3 linked regions of the Macaca fascicularis genome follow. Each later gene encodes a partner of the first gene's protein in a complex. Links are inferred from orthologs where the notes say so. Each region holds a gene or a part of one and is shown on either strand. Other genes may lie near its edges.

Region 1 (3,648 bases):
GGTACATTTGGTCTTTCTTTTACTGTATAATATGCATTTAGTCCTCTCTCAACATATATATCTCTCTATTTGTGTATATGTGTGTGTGTACATATACATATATATGCTGCAGATACATAAACTTTTACTGTATATCCCATAGTGTAGTACATTTTAGGGCACCCTTTACTAAATGACTATATCCTTGAATGCTTTGGCACATTAATACGTTCTCTCTACTACCATTCCTGTATCAGCTGTGGTTCCTCTGAGATAAAAAGGTTGTAGTCAGAACGTGGTCTTCTTATTAATATTTATCACAAACTGTCTAACAGAAGACATAGAACTAATATTAGCTCTGAAAACATTGGTAAGAGCTTGGAGATAGTAAAACTTGTTTGTTCAATGTATGAAAACTTAGGAACCCTATTGCTTTGTCATTAGATCTTCTGAAGTTTGTACTTAGTTTTACCTGTTAACAGTATTTTTGCAGGAGTAAGGAGACTATTAAAACAAGGTAAAAGTATAAGAATTTTGATAGATGGGTGATTGATTATATACGAAACTTTAATGTGTTCAACTTAAGGAGACAAATGCTTTGCAAGTATCTTCTACCAAAAAGCATTTCTAATGTTAATTACTGCTCCTTCTTATTGCAAGTTTTCTTATTTTTATTTATTTATTTATTTATTTATTTATTTATTTTTTTGAGACAGAGTCTTGCTCTGTCGCCCAGGCTGGGGTGCAGTGGCCGGATCTCAGCTCACTGCAAGCTCCGCCTCCCGGGTTTAGACCATTCTCCTGCCTCAGCCTCCCGAGTAGCTGGGACTACAGGCGCCCGCCACCTCGCCCGGCTAGTTTTTTGTATTTTTTAGTAGAGACGGGGTTTCACCGTGTTAGCCAGGATGGTCTCGATCTCCTGACCTCGTGATCCGCCCGTCTCGGCCTCCCAAAGTGCTGGGATTACAGGCTTGAGCCACCGCGCCCGGCCCTATTTTTATTTATTTTAAGACAGAGTCTTGCTCTGTTGCCCATGCTGGAGTGCAGTGGTGCAATCCCGGCTCACTGCAACCTCTGCCTCCCAGGCTCAAGCAATTCTTCTGCCTCAGCCTCCTGCAATTCTTGTGCCTCAGCCTCCCGAGTAACTGGAATTACAGGCATGCCCCACCAGGCCCGGCTAATTTTTTGTATTTTTAGTAGAGGTGAGGTTTCACCATGTTGACCAGGCTGGTCTCGAACTCCTGGCCTCAAATTTTTTGATCTGCCTGCCTCAACCTCCCAAAGTGCTAGGATTACAGGTGTGAGCTACCACGTCTGGCCTCTTATTTTGGGTTTTTTTTTTTTTTTTTTTTTTTTGAGACGGAGTCTGGAGTCTCGCTCTGTCACCCAGGCTGGAGTGCAGTGGCCGGATCTCAGCTCACTGCAAGCTCCGCCTCCCGGGTTCACGCCATTCTCCTGCCTCAGCCTCTCGAGTAGCTGGGACTATAGGCGCCCGCCACCTCGCCCGGCTAGTTTTTTGTATTTTTTAGTAGAGACGGGGTTTCACCGTGTTAGCCAGGATGGTCTCGATCTCCTGACCTCGTGATCCGCCCGTCTCAGCCTCCCAAAGTGCTGGGATTACAGGCGTGAGCCACCGCGCCCGGCCCTATTTTGGGTTTTAAGTAAGGTTAACCTTACTTCTGTGTATTTTGAAAGTATTGGTCATTTTCATTGGAGGAACTTTTTCTTTTTAATTTGGAGGCTTACCAAATAAATATTACCAAATAAATAAGTATGAAGTCAGTGATGATCTAAGAAATGTATTATATCGTTCAACACTAGTATGTATTTGGCTGTATCACAGATTCAAAATATTACTTTTAATGAATGGGCTTTACTGTTAAGTTATATCTGAATGATTACTATTTTGAGATCACATTGGATGTAAAATTTTAGATAAATATGCTTTTTTTAAATAGCCTGGATCTAAAAAATCAGCGAATGGATCAGATGATAAAACCAGCTGCAAGGAATCAAAGACAGGAAATCTGGACCCGTTGTCTTGCATAAGTAAGCTTCCATCATCTGTGCTCGTGATAAATTTGCAAACTTAATCTCAACAAAGCTCCCCACTCCCTTTGTTTTAACCACAGATTCACCTATTTTTAGTCATGTTAAAATGTATGTTTTTATTAAATATAGGCACTGCAGATCTTCATAAAATGTATCCTACACCACCATCATTGGAGCAACATATTATGGGATTTTCCCCAATGAATATGAATAATAAAGAATATGGTAGTATGGATACAACACCTGGAGGAACTGTTCTAGAAGGAAATAGTTCTAGTATAGGAGCACAGTTCAAAATTGAGGTTGATGAGGGATTCTGTAGTCCCAAACCTTCTGAAATTAAAGTAAGTATGTTTTTTCTAGAAAAATAATTCACTTCCTGTATTTTCTTATAGAATTAGTTTATTGCTATAGTCAAAAATTATTTCATAGTGGTTGCAGTTTTGTAGCTAAGTTGAAGACTGAATTGTTGTGTCACTATTAAGAATGCATTTAAGAAAATAATAGAATTGTATTTACATTTTATTCTGTTTAAAGAAGGGAAAAAAGGTCCAGAGCCTGTTTGAGATTTTTATTTATTTTCCCCCCCAGAAGATAAGATACTGAAAACCTACCATCTTTATATTGTAGGATTTTTCTTATGTCTATAAGCCTGAAAATTGTCAAATTCTAGTGGGATGTTCCATGTTTGCACCTCTAAAAACTCTACCAAGCCAATATCTGCCCCCTATCAAATTGCCAGAAGAGTGTATTTATCGTCAGAGTTGGACTGTTGGAAAATTGGAATTGCTTTCTTCAGGGTCTGCAATGCCATTCATCAAAGAGGGGTATGATTTATGTTGTTATAATAGTATATGAATTCTTATACAGCTTTAATTTTTTTTCATAGATTTACTTGGTATGCTGGAAAAAGAAAATTGGTTTTTGAAAATTCTAAAAATTATTTCTGGTTAATCAATTATAGTGATTGGCTGGGAGCAGTGGCTCACACCTGTAATTCCAACACTTTGGGAGGCCAAGGCAGGCATATCCCTTGAGGTCAGGAGTTTGAGATCAGCCTGGCCAACATGCAAAACCTCGTCTCTACTAAAAATACAAAAATTAGCCAAGCGTGGTAGTGTGACTGTAGTCCCAGCTACTTGAGAGGCTGAGGCACAGGAATGACTTGATCCTGGGAGGCACATGTTGCAGGGAGCCGAGATTGCACCAGTGCACTCCAGCCTGGGCAACAGAGTAAGACTTCGTCTCAAAAAAAAAAAAAAAAAAAGGTTAATTAGGTATGGTTAAACTATTAGGAAACATAAGACTATTATGCTGGATTTGTATTCAGAAGCACCTTTTCTTTTGGGCTGCAATTTTAAATTGCTTCCACTTTTACATTTGCCATATTTTCCACACGTGTCACATTTTAACATCTCTGACTTTGTCCATTTCAACTCAAGGCTGAAAGAAATCTGAATTTGAGATGTCTTATAAGTGGTAGCATCTTAAAATTACCATTTTTCCCTTTTTACACATGAGCATCTCTGAAATCATTTTTTTAATCATTTTTTTATTTTACAGTCAGTAGCATCTTAGAATCAAGGAAATATAAGTATTTCTAGTAAACATAATTTA
Region 2 (2,582 bases), about 15 Mb from region 1:
GCTCGCCACACGTTAGTTTTTCTCTCTCATCTCCGTTGGGATCTCTCTGTATCCGAGGCCCCTCTGTGCCTTTTTTGTTGTTGTTTTTTGAGTTGGAGTCTCCCTCTCTTGCCCAGAGGGAGTGCAGTGACGTGATCTTGGCTCACTGCAACCTCCGCCTCCTGGGTTAAGCAGTTTTTCTGTCTGAGCCTCCTGAGTCGCTGGGACTACAGGCGCCTGCCACAACGCCCGGCTAATTTTTGTATTTTAGTAGAGATGGGCTTTCGCCATATTAGTCAGGCTGGTCTCAAACTCCTGAACTCAGGTGATCTACCCGCCTTGGCCTCCCAGAGTGCTAGGATTACAGGCATGAACCCCCGCGCTCAGCCTGTTTTTTTGAGACAGGGTTTTGCTCTGTTGCTCATGCTGGAGTGCAGTGGCACCATCTCGGCTCACTGCAGCCTTGTTCTCCTGGGCTCAAGCAGTCTGCCTCAGCCTCCCAAGGAGCTGGGACTACAGGCTTTGGCACCATGCCCAGCTAATTTTTGTATTTTTTGTAGAGATGGGGTCTCGCTAGTTGCCAAGGTTGGTCTTGAACTCCTGGGCTTAAGCAGTCCTCCTGCCTTGGCCTCCCAAAGTGCTGGAATTACAGGTGTGAGCCCCTGCACCCAGCCTCCCTCTGTGCTCTTGATCTCAGGGTCTTCTCTGGGCTTTCCATGTACCAGTTACCTCCGATGGGTGAAGGTCAGGTGGGGGTATCCCCAGGGAGCGCCGCTTTTGCACTCGGCAGGCTGTTCCCCAGCGCTCTGTCTGCTCTGTCCCACAGCAGACCGGTCCATGAGCAGCTCCCTCTCAGCCTCTCAGCTCCACACCGTCAACATGCGGGACCCTCTGAACCGAGTCCTGGGTAAGTTCCCCACCCGTGCTGCTGAACCTGGGGTTAAGCTGGACGAGTCCCTCTCCTCATGGAGGCTGGGCGACCTTGTCATCTGGAAGGGGCCTCATGGTGCCCCTCCCTTCTCCCTCCATGCTCCTCATTGCTGGCTGTCCTGGCTCCCAGGCTCCTGTCTAGTTCCCCCCCTCCCCTCCCCGGTTGCCTTTTATATTTTCTCTCTCTGACACCCCGTTTTGGGGACATGCTCAGCATGTATTTCTTTTCCCTTTTCAGTCCCGCCTTCTCCCAGAGTGTGACCTCACCCCCTCTCATGGAACTCCCTCCTGTCACTCTCCACAGCCAACCTCTTCCTGCTCATCTCCTCCATCCTGGGGTCGCGCACCGCTGGGCCCCACACCCAGTTCGTGCAGTGGTTCATGGAGGAGTGTGTGGACTGCCTGGAGCAGGGTGGCCGCGGCAGTGTCCTGCAGTTCATGCCCTTCACCACCGTGAGTACCACCTTCCTGGCTCTCCCGCTGGTGCTGGGGCCTCGGTGCAGCCCTTGGAGCAGGGAGGGGCCTCCTTCCCCTGGGACAGCACGCCCACCACCAGCCATCCAGCAAGCAGCATCTCTGTCTGTGGCAGGTGTCGGAACTGGTGAAGGTGTCAGCCATGTCCAGCCCCAAGGTGGTTCTGGCCATCACGGACCTCAGCCTGCCCCTGGGCCGCCAGGTGGCTGCTAAAGCCATTGCTGCACTCTGAGGAGCTTGGCATGGCCGCAGTGGGGGCTGGGGGCTGGGGACTGGCACAGCCCCAGGTGCCTCCAAGGGAAGCAGTGAGGAAAGATGAGGCATCGTGGCTCACATCCGCTCCACATGGTGCAAGAGCCTCTGGCAGCTTCTAATTCCCCGCTTCTGACTCCTGACCTCCAGGATGTCTCCTGGTTTCCTCTTTTGAAATTTCTTCTCTGTCTGCCAGCACCTGAGGAGTGTGAGCAGCCTGGACCACAAGCCCAGTGGTCACCCCTGTGTGCGCCCGCCCCAGCCCAGGGGTAATCTTACTTCTGAGGAACTTTCTAGACGCAGAGAGTGTGTGTGTGTGTGTGTGTGTGTGTGTGTGTGTGTGTGTATATATTTTGTAATATGTGAGGGAAATCTACCTTTGTTCATGTGTAAATAAAGCTCCTCGTGGATCCCTTTGCGACTGTGGGTGCTGTTGGTATCAGTGTCACCCGGGGCGGGGCACAGTGCTCTCTCCCTGGACTGCCTGTGCTGTGGCCGGGGAAAGCGCACTCCTGTGGTGAGGAGGAGGAGGAAGAGGTGCAGAGGTGGCAGGGCTTAGGGTCCTATGTGGACTTGCTCAGCTGAGGAAGGGCCAGGGGAAAGCAGCTTCCCTTCCTTGGAGCCAAGTTGGCCGGCCTGCTGCCCCTCCCGCAAAGCCAGCTGTACCCTGAAAGGGGAGAGGCTTTGGCTCAGGGCCCCACAGTGCTGGGGCAGGGTGGCCTGCTCTGCTTTCTCCCGAACCTGGCCCAACCCTACCCACACTCTGACTAGCCTGGGATTTGGTCTGTTGCCTCCAAAAAAGGACTGGGGGATGGGAGGCGGGGGGATGAGGGCCGGACCTTTCTTTAACCCTTCCTTGCCTGCCTCACACGTCTCCGAGCCTGGCAGTGGACACTTCTGACCCTGCTTTCCGAGGAGCCACGGGCTGGGGAGGTGGGAGGGACCGA
Region 3 (4,353 bases), on another chromosome or scaffold:
TACTGTATTAGGCTGACTTGCCTGAGAGGCAGCAACAGACACAGCCCAGACCCAGGAAAAGTTTTGATAATATTACCTAATGTGCTCTTGGAGACTCTCCCAGCACTCCCTCAACATAGGGAGAAGAAAAAACAAATTTTCCTTTGTTTTATGGAATGAGTTTATAGATTTCTGTTCTCTGTAACTAATGACTTCAAGTATTCTCTTTTATCTAAGAAGTACAGTGAAGGTCATGAGAAGCCTGAGCTGCCTGGGCACCATAGTGAAGGTTATGGGATAAGCCCGTGTCTAGGCAAACCTAGATAACGGACATCTGGGTTGCATAGCAACGGTTATGTGTAATCCTGAGTTATAAACCTGTTACAACAATTTGATTAACTGTCTTTGTCCTGCCTCTGTATCCCTGCTTTCACGCCACTGTAAGTTTGCTTCAAGCTAGCCCACCCCCTTTTGTGAAGTGTGTATAAAAGTCAAGTGCTGTCTTTGTTCCAGGCCGTCTTTGGACGTGAGTCTGCTTGGGCCTGAGTGCACTCAATGAAAGATTCTCTTGCTTTAAGCGGAAGACTCTCTCCCGTCCTCCTCAATCCCGAAACAGTGGCTCACCCCCGTAATCCCAGCACTTTGGGAAGCTGAGGCAGGCAGATCACGTGAGGTCAGGAGTTCGAGACCAGCCTGGTCAACATAGCGAAACCCCGTCTCTACTAAAAAAAAAAAAAAAAAAAAAAAAAATTAGCTGGGCGTAGTGGCGTGTGCCTGTAATCCCAGCTACTCAGGAGGCTGAGGCAGAATCGCTTGAACCCGGGAGGTGCAGGTTGCAGTGAGCCAAGACTCTGCCACTGTACTCCAGCCTGGGAGACAGAGCAAGACTCTGTTTCAAAGGAAAAAAAAAAAAGGTCTGATTCAAGCCACAGAGGGATCTATCCTGGCTCTGACCCATCCCCCTGCATTGAGACTACAATGTACCCATCTGGAAAAGGAGAACGGGGTAAATAGAAAAAGAGAGGACAGAAAGGGGACAATCACACAGGAAGTACAAGGTGGCTGCTGGAGCTCAGCGAGGCCTCCCTGAATGGGAAGTTTTTCCTACTTCTAAACTGGTTGGCAACATTGCTGAGCACACAGAAGCCACAAAAGTGACTTCTGACAAAAACACAATCACCTTCAAAGTCCTTTAAATCGCTTCATGTATGAGATGTTTCCTGCAGCTCAAACCCAAGCCATCCCTCATTCACGGCCCCTCACAGGAACCCCAACCCACCCTAAGTGGGGGAAAAGCTCACTTAATGCCATCGAGCCAGGTGACAAACTCATAGGCGCTGCTGGTGGGAGCGTGACATTGTACATAGGACTCGGGAGCGCAGTCCACTGTGTTGAACACCACGAGGCTGTACTGGGTCCCTCCATACTGGGAGGGGAGAACAGAAAAACTTTTTTTTTATTTTTTATTTTTTTTTTTGAGACGGAGTCTCGCTCTGCCGCCCAGGCTGGAGCGCAGTGGCCGGATCTCAGCTCACTGCAAGCTCCGCCTCCCGGGTTTACGCCATTCTCCTGCCTCAGCCTCCCGAGTAGCTGGGACTACAGGCGCCCGCCACTCGCCCGGCTAGTTTTTTGTATTTTTTAGTAGAGACGGGGTTTCACCGTGTTAGCCAGGATGGTCTCGATCTCCCGACCTCGTGATCCGCCCGTCTCGGCCTCCCAAAGTGCTGGGATTACAGGCTTGAGCCACCACGCCCGGCCCAGAAAAACTTTTAATCTGGGATCTCAATTCTCTTTTCCCTCAGAGAAGGAATCAGGGCTCCCAGCTTCCTGTTCCTCCAGAACCAGGAACTCCTCAACTTCCTCCTTCCTCAGACCCAGGAATCTCAGCCCCATCCCCTCCTCCCTCAGACCCAGGAGTCCAGACCCCGAACTCCTCCTCCCTCAGACCCAGGAGTCCAGACCCCTGTCCCTCCTCCCTCAGACCCAGGAGTCCAGGCCCCTCCTCCTCCCTCAGACCCAGGAGTCCAGACCCCTGTCCCTCCTCCCTCAGACCCAGGAGTCCAGGCCCCTCCTCCTCCCTCAGACCCAGGAGTCCAGACCCCGAACCCCTCCTCCCTCAGACCCAGGAGTCCAGACCCCTGTCCCTCCTCCCTCAGACCCAGGAGTCCAGACCCCTGTCCCTCCTCCCTCAGACCCAGGAGTCCAGGCCCCTCCTCCTCCCTCAGACCCAGGAGTCCAGACCCCTGTCCCTCCTCCCTCAGACCCAGGAGTCCAGGCCCCTCCTCCTCCCTCAGACCCAGGAGTCCAGACCCCGAACCCCTCCTCCCTCAGACCCAGGAGTCCAGACCCCGAACCCCTCCTCCCTCAGACCCAGGAGTCCAGACCCCTGTCCCTCCTCCCTCAGACCCAGGAGTCCGGGCCCCTCCTCCTCCCTCAGACCCAGGAGTCCAGACCCCGAACCCCTCCTCCCTCAGACCCAGGAGTCCAGACCGCGAACCCCTCCTCCCTCAGACCCAGGAGTCCAGACCCCGAACCCCTCCTCCCTCAGACCCAGTAGTCCAGGCCCCTCCTCCTCCCTCAGACCCAGGAGTCCAGGCCCCCAGCCCCTCCTCCCTCAGACCCAGGAGTCCCAAGACTCACGTCTCCCCCGAAGTCCGTCTCAGCAGGAGGACCACCATTAAAATACCTGTGAGGGTCGGAGGTGAAAGGTCGGAGTCAGGCAAGAAGCTGTGGAAACCGAAATGGGAGGGCGGGATTAGAGCCGCGGAAACGGCACTCACTCGATGGCCGGCAGCAGGTAGTGCTTGCGGAGTCCCTCGAAGTAGGGTCCCAGGTTGGCCGTACCCTCAATCACAAACACCACGTCGGCCACCAGGCCCCCGGCGCGGGCCGGGCCCTCGGACCCGGGGACCATACCCCGTGCGGTAGCCGCCACCGCCACAGCCGCCGCAGCCGACACCGCGGAATGAGCGGAAATGCGCCTGCGCTGCGCGCGCACCCGCGCCGGGCGGTTTAGGGACGCTGGGAATGCGGCCATGTTTGTGCGGGGCACGCGCTGAGGCTTCGTTCTAGCTCCATCCTCCTTCGCCTCCACCACGTGGAAAACTCAGAAAGGGCATAGTTAGCCCTTTTAGGGGCCTGATGGGTTCGACGGAATTCTTGTCAGGATTCTCAAGAGCGAAATAAATTGAAAGCGGCTCAGTCAGCCGCCATCTTTGAGCGGGGCGTCTGGGTCCGCCTCTTGTCTCAAAGGGAGGGGCGGGAGACCTGGTTGCTATGCAACGCGTACGCTGCTCTTGTTTTCGTTTTTGTGTTTTGTTTCCTTTGTTTTCGAAACGGGAGTCTCGCCCTGTCGCCCAGGCTGAAGTGCAGTGGCGCGATCTCGGCTCACTACAACCTCCGCCTCCCGGGTTCAAGCGATTCTCCTGCCTCAGCCTTCCGAGTAGCTGGGATTACAGGTGCCCGCCACCAGGCTCCGCTAATTTTTGTATTTTTAGCAGAGAAAGGGTTTACACCATGTGGGCCAGGCTGTTCTCGAACTCCTGACCTCAAGTGATTCGCCCGCCTTGGATTCCCAAAGTGCTAAGATTACAGTCCTGAGCCACAGCGCCGGGACCTCTGCCCTTGTTTTCTAACCGTTAGATTAAGTTTCTGATTCTGTTCTTTTGGGCGGGCGCACTGGGGGAGGGAGGCGAGAAGGATCCAATCACATCGGCGGAAACGAGGTTACTAGGCAACGCTTTAAGGTCGTCCTCAACTTGGAAGGGAGGGCAGTTGTTTTTCCCCTGAAAAGAAGCCGAACACCAACCCAAGTGTGGGTTGCTTAGCAACACCTGAGCGTTGTTTTCCGGGAGAGGAGCCAGAAACTGGCCTAGAACATAAATACATTCCAGGTAGATTAAAAATGTAAGTGCGACAAATGAAACTCGAAAACTATCTGAAGGAAAAAAATCTTAATGACTGCCATGGAGTTTCTTAGCACTACAGCAAAGTCAGAAAACGTAGTCTTTATTAATTTTTCCCAAAAGACTGCATAAACCAAGTTGAAAAATACACTACCAACTGGAATAATCTAACGTGTTTGTTGACAGAAATGTGCTACACAAATCTTATTGATGAATAATATAGAAAAATAGAAACACTGCATTACTATTATCTTTTTAATTTTAATTTTTATTTTTTGAGACAGGGTCTCTTTCTGTTGTGCAGGTTGGAGTGCAGTGGCCCAATCTTGGCTCACGGCAGCCTCTAGTGCTCGCACTGGAGCCACTCTTCTGCCTGTAGAGCAGCTGGGACCACAGCCGCGCACCACCACTCCCAGCTAATTTTTAATTTTTTTTTTTTTTTTTTTTTTTTTTTTTTTGAGACGTTGTA

The links.
Region 2: MED13 (region 1) and MED24 share a complex: the UniProt entries of both Homo sapiens proteins name them as parts of the mediator complex. The link is inferred for Macaca fascicularis from reciprocal best matches to the Homo sapiens genes MED13 and MED24.
Region 3: MED13 (region 1) and MED25 share a complex: the UniProt entries of both Homo sapiens proteins name them as parts of the mediator complex. The link is inferred for Macaca fascicularis from reciprocal best matches to the Homo sapiens genes MED13 and MED25.

The regions. Positions count from the first base shown.
Region 1 is NC_088390.1:46,446,421-46,450,068, reverse strand, and holds part of MED13 (mediator of RNA polymerase II transcription subunit 13), read left to right. Parts: intron 1-1,937; coding exon 1,938-2,028; intron 2,029-2,160; coding exon 2,161-2,375; intron 2,376-2,661; coding exon 2,662-2,858; intron 2,859-3,648. UniProt on the Homo sapiens protein: Component of the Mediator complex, a coactivator involved in the regulated transcription of nearly all RNA polymerase II-dependent genes.
Region 2 is NC_088390.1:61,081,146-61,083,727, reverse strand, and holds the end of MED24 (mediator of RNA polymerase II transcription subunit 24), read left to right. Parts: intron 1-805; coding exon 806-886; intron 887-1,147; exon of another isoform or gene 1,148-1,213; coding exon 1,214-1,362; intron 1,363-1,498; coding exon 1,499-1,615; 3' UTR 1,616-2,053; downstream 2,054-2,582. UniProt on the Homo sapiens protein: Component of the Mediator complex, a coactivator involved in the regulated transcription of nearly all RNA polymerase II-dependent genes.
Region 3 is NC_088393.1:57,802,637-57,806,989, reverse strand, and holds the start of MED25 (mediator of RNA polymerase II transcription subunit 25), read right to left. Parts: upstream 2,947-4,353; 5' UTR 2,894-2,946; coding exon 2,760-2,893; intron 2,666-2,759; coding exon 2,620-2,665; intron 1,406-2,619; coding exon 1,281-1,405; coding exon of another isoform or gene 1,259-1,280; intron 702-1,258; exon of another isoform or gene 604-701; intron 1-603. UniProt on the Homo sapiens protein: Component of the Mediator complex, a coactivator involved in the regulated transcription of nearly all RNA polymerase II-dependent genes.